2 linked regions of the Daphnia pulex genome follow. The protein of the gene in region 1 interacts with the protein of each later gene in a biochemical or structural test. Links are inferred from orthologs where the notes say so. Each region holds a gene or a part of one and is shown on either strand. Other genes may lie near its edges.

Evidence for each region. The genes of interacting proteins can lie anywhere in the genome.
Region 2: the proteins of AP-2 complex subunit mu (region 1) and autophagy-related protein 9A-like interact in a biophysical measurement, tested with the Homo sapiens proteins (4 studies listed by BioGRID and IntAct, with this or other methods). The link is inferred for Daphnia pulex from reciprocal best matches to the Homo sapiens genes AP2M1 and ATG9A.

Annotation. Positions count from the first base shown.
Region 1 is NC_060028.1:9,468,591-9,472,884, forward strand, and holds the start of AP-2 complex subunit mu, read right to left. Parts: upstream 2,801-4,294; 5' UTR 2,642-2,800; intron 2,278-2,641; 5' UTR 2,251-2,277; coding exon 2,074-2,250; intron 2,004-2,073; coding exon 1,841-2,003; intron 1,771-1,840; coding exon 1,655-1,770; intron 1,583-1,654; coding exon 1,215-1,582; intron 1,150-1,214; coding exon 916-1,149; intron 842-915; coding exon 730-841; intron 668-729; coding exon 533-667; 3' UTR 1-532. Other genes in the region: polyhomeotic-proximal chromatin protein-like, read right to left, coding at 3,337-3,570, 3,631-4,045, 4,114-4,294.
Region 2 is NC_060017.1:4,163,949-4,168,011, forward strand, and holds the start of autophagy-related protein 9A-like, read right to left. Parts: upstream 2,801-4,063; 5' UTR 2,596-2,800; coding exon 2,499-2,595; intron 2,441-2,498; coding exon 2,263-2,440; intron 1,963-2,262; coding exon 1,926-1,962; intron 1,861-1,925; coding exon 1,689-1,860; intron 1,627-1,688; coding exon 1,497-1,626; intron 1,420-1,496; coding exon 1,181-1,419; intron 1,095-1,180; coding exon 922-1,094; intron 865-921; coding exon 660-864; intron 482-659; coding exon 360-481; intron 301-359; coding exon 1-300. Other genes in the region: uncharacterized protein LOC124194405, read right to left, coding at 3,174-4,063. UniProt on the Homo sapiens protein: Phospholipid scramblase involved in autophagy by mediating autophagosomal membrane expansion. Cycles between the preautophagosomal structure/phagophore assembly site (PAS) and the cytoplasmic vesicle pool and supplies membrane for the growing autophagosome.

The sequences.
Region 1 (4,294 bases):
GAGAGAGAAAAAGAGAGAGAGAGAACGCGAACTGCTAATCCAAGCAGTAACAACGCAATCCAGTCAAGACGACTATTCTGTGGATATTTTTTTTCTTTTTTTGGGGGTAGGGGGAGAAGGGGGTTAATTTCGCTCTCTGCGCACTAACAATGATATAGATGGGAAGGAAAAATAATTCCGACGACGTACTCAACACTCAACACGGATGAAAAAAAATAAAAGGAAGAGAAAAGAAGTAGATGAGAGAAGTACAAGCTTTTGAATATTAAACTAAACAGAATTTTGATCCTGGATGAAAGAAACTTAACAGACAGAGCTACTTTTCCCATTAGCAGGATTCATCCACTCTCTCGCACCGCTCAGCAGATGCAACAACGACATCGACCTAAGTATAAGACAGACTAACAAAGATCTTTCTTCTTTTTTTTTCTTCTTTCGGACGAGTAGTAAGTGATGGGTTAATCATGAAGAGGAGAAATAGAATTGGAGACGAGTTTCTTCATCTTCCAACGAAAATGAATCGTCCGTTTCTTCAGCAACGCGTTTCGTAGAGGCCGCTGCGTCCGATGTAGCGAACCCATTTGATGACGTCGTGATCAGAATAGTTCAACTTGGGTTCAAAGACTTTCAAATATCGAACTTTAAAGCCCGATGGTGCAAACGGAACCTATGATAGAAATCCAAATTAGAGCAATCGATATGCACGACACACATCATCCTCGAAAATACCTCAAAGTTCATGGAAATGGGGGGTCGAGTCCACTTCTTTTTCGTGTCCGTTTGCAAAAGCTCAATTTCAGCTGAAAGTTGTGATTCCTTCATACCTCCCATCCGTTTGATCCTGTCAACATCAACACCACACAAGTTTAACAACACAGCTCTAATGTTTGATCTAAAGAAAAGTTTGCAACTGACTTCCAAACGATGGCGTTCTCAGAAGCTTTGTACTTGGCTTTGCCTTTCATGCACAAAAGTTGAACGCCCGATGTATTGAGAGGCGTTGGAATGCGTATCTCGATTTTCTGTGCCAGGAGCGAAGGTTTGAAGTTAGACTTGACAACCACTTTGACTTCCATCTTTGTCCGGCCCACTTCGCGCACCAACGGTATAACTCGGAAAGGTAACGAAATGTCCTTGGTCGTTCGGTACCTGCAATCGAAAATAACACTTGTTAGCATAAATTCAATGTATATACCAAAGGAGAACAGACTAACCTCATGAGTTCAAACTCTCCGTCAGGGGGAATAAAGCTAATCGAATGCTCCGTTTCGAATTTAGACAACTTGACACACTGGTGAAATTGACAGTCGTCAATCACAATAGCTGTCTTGCCAGTGCGAGCAGCGGATTCATCCGCAGTAGGTTTACCCTTAGCCTCCATGATAATCTTATCGTTGATTCCAAACTTGCATTCGGGCATGCCTGACAAGTAGGATTTCATCACTACTTTGCCAGCCACGTGAGCTGAAAGTACTTGACCCTGCGGCGACATTAGAAGGTTGACGTATTCCAATACGTCAAGGAAGAGTTCGTTTCGCCGGTACTTGATGCCTTCGCGTCGCCAGCCGATTTGGCCTGTCACCTGGAAATCATAACCACATGATTATATTTTAAAAACAATCATTGAGCATTAATTGTTTGAGCGAATCTATACCTGAGAGGTAATCTGGGCCTGCTCTTCTTTGGTTTGCGTGCGAATACCTTGCTGAGTAATAAACGTCTTCAACACTCCCGTGTCGGTATTTTGGGGATAGCCAAAATCAAGAATCTCTGATAGAATGAATAAATTGGATAAGGAACAACACACAAACAAATAAATTGTGTTTGCTTCCCAACATACCATCCAAAAGTTCGTAAATGAGGACAAAATTGTTCTTGATGTTTTCCTCTGATACCTTACCAAAGTATGACTGCATGCAGTCAGTGACCTTCAAGAGAAACTCGAAAACCATAGAGGCATTGACATTTTGTTTGGTGACAGCTGCCACCCAAATATTAGCACGCTAAAAAAAGGTAAAGGATTATTGATCCTGAGAACATTAAAACATTTCAAAATGGCAAATCAGAAAATACCTTAACATGGAAGAAGGAGGTTCTGGCAATGTTTGTAACAGGTGATCTGACTTGCTGCCTAGCATGGATGACATTTACTCGGAAAGCATCAACTGCATTTCTGCCAATGTCATCACGGTACACACGTGATATTAGGACCTCTCCTTTGTGATTGTAGATGAAAAGGCCTCCAATCATCTTGACTCTTGAAGCTTTGTGATAAACCTATGAATGAAGAAAATAACACTTTTTTTTCAAACGTGCAGAATGACATTTAGCATGTATACAAGTCCATAAGAACTCTTTGGTAGATGGTTTGCTCTGTGAACTAGAGTATGCAAATGAAGCTATGCAACTTTTTGTTGAAATGTTGAATTATCTTTTTGCCATGCATGCACGAGTTCTTTTGATTGCCTTCACAGGATATCCCGTCTCAATACCGGTAGACTAGCTGATATATCGAGCAACGCCTACCAATAAACTTTCGCATTACCCAACACACAACCACCGTTCCTGAAGATCACGGTCTTGTGTCGCTTTAAACATCATAATTCAAAACCACACCAACGAAAAAAACATAACCTCTTACCTCAAAGTAACTGTTACCAGCCCAATTTCTCCCACTGTGGATAAGTATTCAATTTGGTTTGATAGCAGACTTGTACTGTCAGAGTGAAATGACAGTAACACAGTGCTAACAAGAAAGAAAGTCAATCCATATCACAGGCCAAACAGCTGAAGTCCGTAAAGCGCTCGGAGCGCCACATTTGAAATACTCGGGTGGAAGTAGAACTTTCAAGGTTAAAATCATTTTCAAGAATTCGACTGATTCAAGCATTTTTTAAAAATATACCATTAAAAATAATACGAAATACGTTTGATTCAATGGATTTTTATGTATATTTAAATTATTATTACAATGTCAATTTATTACACTGAAAACGAAAATTCTTCGTTCCGAAAATGTTATATGCGGTTATATGGCATTTTTGTCCTAAATGCCTTTTGTTACACCGAGCATTACATTTTGTATGAATGATCTATATATATATATTTGTTCACTGACGATCTATGTGTCATACGAAATGAGAATTACTGTAATGAAGGTGAATAACCAAAGCAAAATACGTAGAGAGAAATGACGAAGAAACATATCGTGAACCATAAACAAACTATAGACAGAAAAGTACAATGAGTCAAATTACAGTTGAATGAGGCAAACATAACACGTATCGATTTCTGGTGGAGAACAACACAAAAATGGGGGATTGAACTTTTCCCACATTAATTTCCGTTTTGTGGATTGCTATTACCGCCCTCAGAGGAGGATGCACCACGCATAGCATCAATCTTGGCGCAAATCTTCAATGCCGGCCCAAGTTTCATCGACATGGCAGACATCAAATGATCGGCTTTCAATAACATGAGCGCTTGGCCATCAATTTCCTGCAATGCGAAATCTTCGGCATAATCTGCACATCCAGTTAAACTTCGCACGAAATCCGCGACCTCGGTAACCTGAATGAATAGAAGTCTTAATTATCAGTGCAATCTAAGTCGTAACAATAAATAACTTACACTCCACTTGGCTGGATTAGTTTTCGGCTCAGGTTTGAGCTGGTGAGTTGGTGTTTGAGATAGTGAGGCTGTGGGAGAACGCAATTGCTGAGCAGCCAGAGCACACAACTCTGCATCCAAGCTGATATCTTCTTTATCTCCAGAGGGAGCAAAGCTCGTTGGAGGAGTTGGGCCCTGAGGAATTGTCACGGCCGTTGGAGAAGCCAATTTGTTGTTGGCTTCGGCTGTTGTTGAAGCAGCAGCGGGTGAGTGAGTGGTTGACGTCGCAGTGGTCAGTAGCCCACCACCACCGCCAACGGCTGCTTTTACTCCCTGACCGTTGACACAAGTCGTTGTCGAGACAGTTTCCTGCTGCTGCTGCTGCTGTTGATTCGGCTGAACGGGTCCAACTGCTGGCGAAGCATTTATGTTAGACCTATTTCAAAAGTAAACAAACACGGTTAAAATTAAAAGAGTCAAAAGATAAATGGGTTAATGACATACTTTTTCGAGCAGGCTGTGGAACAAAAGCGTTTTGAACGACGAAATTTGGAAATGAAATCCATTTTTCCACATCCCTCGCATGTGGCCATGGTAGCTCCTTTAGGCGTCGACATCTGCTGAAGATCGTTAGTTGTTGTGGTGGTAGGCGGCGCAGGCGGGGGTGCCAGAGGTGGAGATTGAT
Region 2 (4,063 bases), on another chromosome or scaffold:
TATATCATTTTCAACAACTGGCAGAGATTCTTGAAATGAATTTCTTCTTTCATCCGATGTCTGACTTAAACCAGCATGCCACTTTGCCTGTCCATGCTTGTGTAGATCCAATTGAGCAAATGAACAAACATCGCCGACCCCAACAACCTCTACCGTAAATTGTCGCAAAAAGTCGACTATCTCCTGGGCTTTAGGTCGAAGCCCAAAATATAGAATGAATGGTGTAACTATGGGAGATATGAGCTCCTCAAGAAGATACACAGCTTTGTATTGGAACAATCTCGATAGACCTAAGCGTACCTTCAAAGTAACCAACAAAATTATCTGGCTCAAGAATCTAATAATTAGAATATCATTACCTCGTGTGTATGGGCCTTATCTTTCCATTCAGCGGGTAAGTAGTGAACTTGGGTTAAAATAGTCTCCATAAGGCTTTCAGGACACCATACAATATTTTCTTCGGGAATCAAAACTCGACAGCCTGAACCGATTTTCAAGTATAGAAAGTTAGAAGGGTGGCAAGTTTTTTGTTTTTACTTCTTAAAATAATAAATGAACAACTGGTTCTAAGTTGTGTTTTAACTTCATTTTATGAAAAATAAAGTTGAATTTAATTGTGAATGAATAAACGAAAATTTAAAATTAAGATACCAACTTACCCGCAACAACGGCACCAAGAACGGTCATTATGGTGAGCACATGCTCCACCGTAATAACGTCTTCATCGTAAACAGTCAGCAGAACTAAAACTGCCAAAATGGCACCCGCCAAGAAAGCGAAATTCCGCGCAAAGATAGCTACCAAGTTAGAAGAAAAGCCAGAAAGGTAATGAGTAGCCGGTCGATAAGCTCTACTTAGACGGGCCTAAGTAAAAATTCCATTTAACATAATATTTACAAAATTTTTGCCAAAAAATCGTACTTGTAACTCGTGATCTAGTTCATTGAAATGCCGCAAATATAATCTCCCATAAAGTGACCACCTGCGAGCGCCAAGGCTTCCGGGCTCTCTTTTCACAACTTCGGCGTAATTGAAGAAAGCATAGAGTAGTTGCCATAGCAATACCAACGGAGCCAACACGAAATTAAGGATGCCTGTAGTTAAATTTGTAAACAGCATGCATTTAGTAACGACATTTTAGCTTGAATGCCTCGACAAAAAAGTGAAACAAAACAATTACCGATATATCCAATTACTTTTGATAAATCTTTGGCCAACTCTCTTCGCTGGTTAACACTTTTGTACTCTTCACGCAAATGCCAACTGTTGTCAAAAGGAGCCCAAGGACCCCAGAATAGAAGAAATTCGATATTATACTTCAGTCCTCGACTAAGAAATAATGTTTCTCCAACAAGTGGCGCCTTAAACTTTAGTGGGAGGATGGACTTGTTGACCATTGCGACAAAGTAATTCTTAAACCTGAATTTAAAAAATGAGTATAAATACAAATATATGGAAACTACACATTTTTAAAAAAACAGTATTACTGTGTTTACCTTAATATTCGATGATAAATATCAAGTTCCGTTAGCTCGGCTTTATGAATACACATCTGGTACTCCTGCTGAGCCTTTCTTACTCTCTGTTGAACTTCGTGCCAAGTTAAGTTTTCGAGATCTTGGTCACCTGAAATTATGAAATTCTATAAATGTTGTTGCTAGTAAAGCATTAGGAGGACAATTAAATACCAATTTGTAGAGCTGATTGATAAAAACAACGAATTTCAGAATATTGAAAAAAATGGTAGATAACACCAATAAGTCGTAATATCCAGCAGAACAATGCAATAAAAATACAAATCCACATTGTTAGACTGAAAGAAGACACACATTCCCCTGGGCTTTCAACCACATCTGATAACTAAAGAAATATTTGAAAAATATTATCCCTCTAAGCTTTAATTATGTAAAACAATAAAAACTCACAGTTATTTTTGATGTGCTGTTGACTGTAAATTCATCCCTAGGGAGTTACAATGTAACCGTTAAAATTCATAATATGAAATAAACTATACTCACTACCATTTAGAAAAAAAACAATATTGTTTTAAATAAAAGAGCTATGCATGTGAAAACCAAATAAGGCACTTCCTATTGAATCTTGAAAACAACCATTACTGTTGAAATTTTATATTCAATTCAAAAGTGCTGAAAATGTCAACACTCCTCTCAAATTTGTACTAGTTTTCAAAAGGTATTTCATCTTTTGCAGATAGCAAATAAATAATAACAATGTTTAACTATACAAAAATTCAGTAATTACCTGAATAAAATTTTGTAGTTCACACATTGCAGCAAAAACGAAGAAAACCCCACTATGAATGCAAACTGTAAAAGTTCAAAACACTCCTGCAACATCATGCAGAGAAATCCATGTTGCTGATGATAAAAGTAAACACGTGAAAAAAATGAATCCAGGTCTTCTATATGATTCCACCTTGCTAAAATAATTAAAAAGATGAATTACTTGTTTAGAAAAAAATTATCAAAATCACCTACATTTATTTTCAGGAACCACATGAATCAACACAGTTTCATTGCTGTTATCTTCTTCTCCTTCAAGAAACTGACTGTGTTTTCCTGCTGAATTTTTCATCTTGATGTTTACAAATTGTTAACAGAATCCCAGAATCCTACATTCAAAAAATTGCGTAGAAATAGAAATTTCTACAGCAGTTTTAGAACAAGGTATAGCTGTCTAATGAAGTCAATGTAAACAAATTGCGTAAAATTCTTTCTTCTAGAATCTAGTCAGAAACTGGAGTAAATAAATAAAAGCAAGAGAAGTTGCAAAATATGATGCCACGTTGCCAGGTGGCATGAATCCATCTCACTTTGTCCTTTATTTTCATACAATTTTGTTTTTATTGTTATTATTTATTTAAAAATAAGTTTTAATTAAGAAATTTTTTGAATTCGAGATAAGGGATTTTATTTCCAGCAATATGAGATAATTTACAAATTTATTTGAACTCACTAACATAAACTGTATTTTCTGATTAGCTCCTACATAATTCTAAAACAGTGTTTTAAAGAGCAGAATGTGCAAATTTTCAATCAAAGAAAAACAATCAAGAGAGATGAACACCTTATTTGAAAACGAGGAATATATGTAGTGGCACCCACTGGAAATTTCATCTACGCTGGCGAAAAGTATAACAAGTTTGAACATGTTCACAATGAATCTTGACGTTCTTCTTCGTCATCCCGAAAACCACTCAGAGGATCAGATAATAAAGGGCTCTCAGAAATGGAATAATAATTCCCGTTGTACAAAACTCCGAGATCCCGCAGAATTTCACCTCGTATTGTGGCGTTGATAGTCCAACGAAAACACCGCAGATCCTCACGCTCGCGCTCCAATCGGTGAACATCGATTATTTTGGTTTTCAGTCTCTCAAGTATGACCCCAAGATCGAAAATGGTCAAGTGCTTGTGTTTTTCATTGCACAGCTGATCCGTCAGAAGAAGCAACTTCTCCGTCGTCACGCTATTCTCGTTTTCAAAATCGTCTTCCATGGTGTTGCTGCTGTCTTGCTCCATCTCCGATCCTGATGCGTTCTCCTGGTGCTGATGCTGGGATCTGGACGCGGCGAGACTAGAACGGCTCTCCACTCCATCATGAATCACATTCGTACCGTCGTCACAGAAATGAACGTGAGTAGACTTCAAAATTTTACTCATGGAATGAATTCGATGACGATGACATTCGGCACTTTGGATGGAGCGGCCTCTGTCGTGTAGTGATCCACAGTGAAATTCACATTTATTCAAATCGTGCTGGAACGCTGCTGAAGAAGCGCTTGAACGCAAAAGCTGGGGGTCTTTACTTGAGCCAGAAATTGGAACGTGATTGGCGGCTTGCGAGTCATGGGCTACTACTACATTTGAACAAGCCCCTGAAACTGCATTGCAATCCCTAAGAGTCGACTTGAAAGTCGCGCCTGCACTGGCAGTGGAAGCAGATTGTTTGACGTTAATAGGCTGACTGTCGACGATTTCCTTGTCGCTGATGGTTGCAGCAACTGAATCTTTTAGTATAGAACTAGCACCAGTCAAAGAGT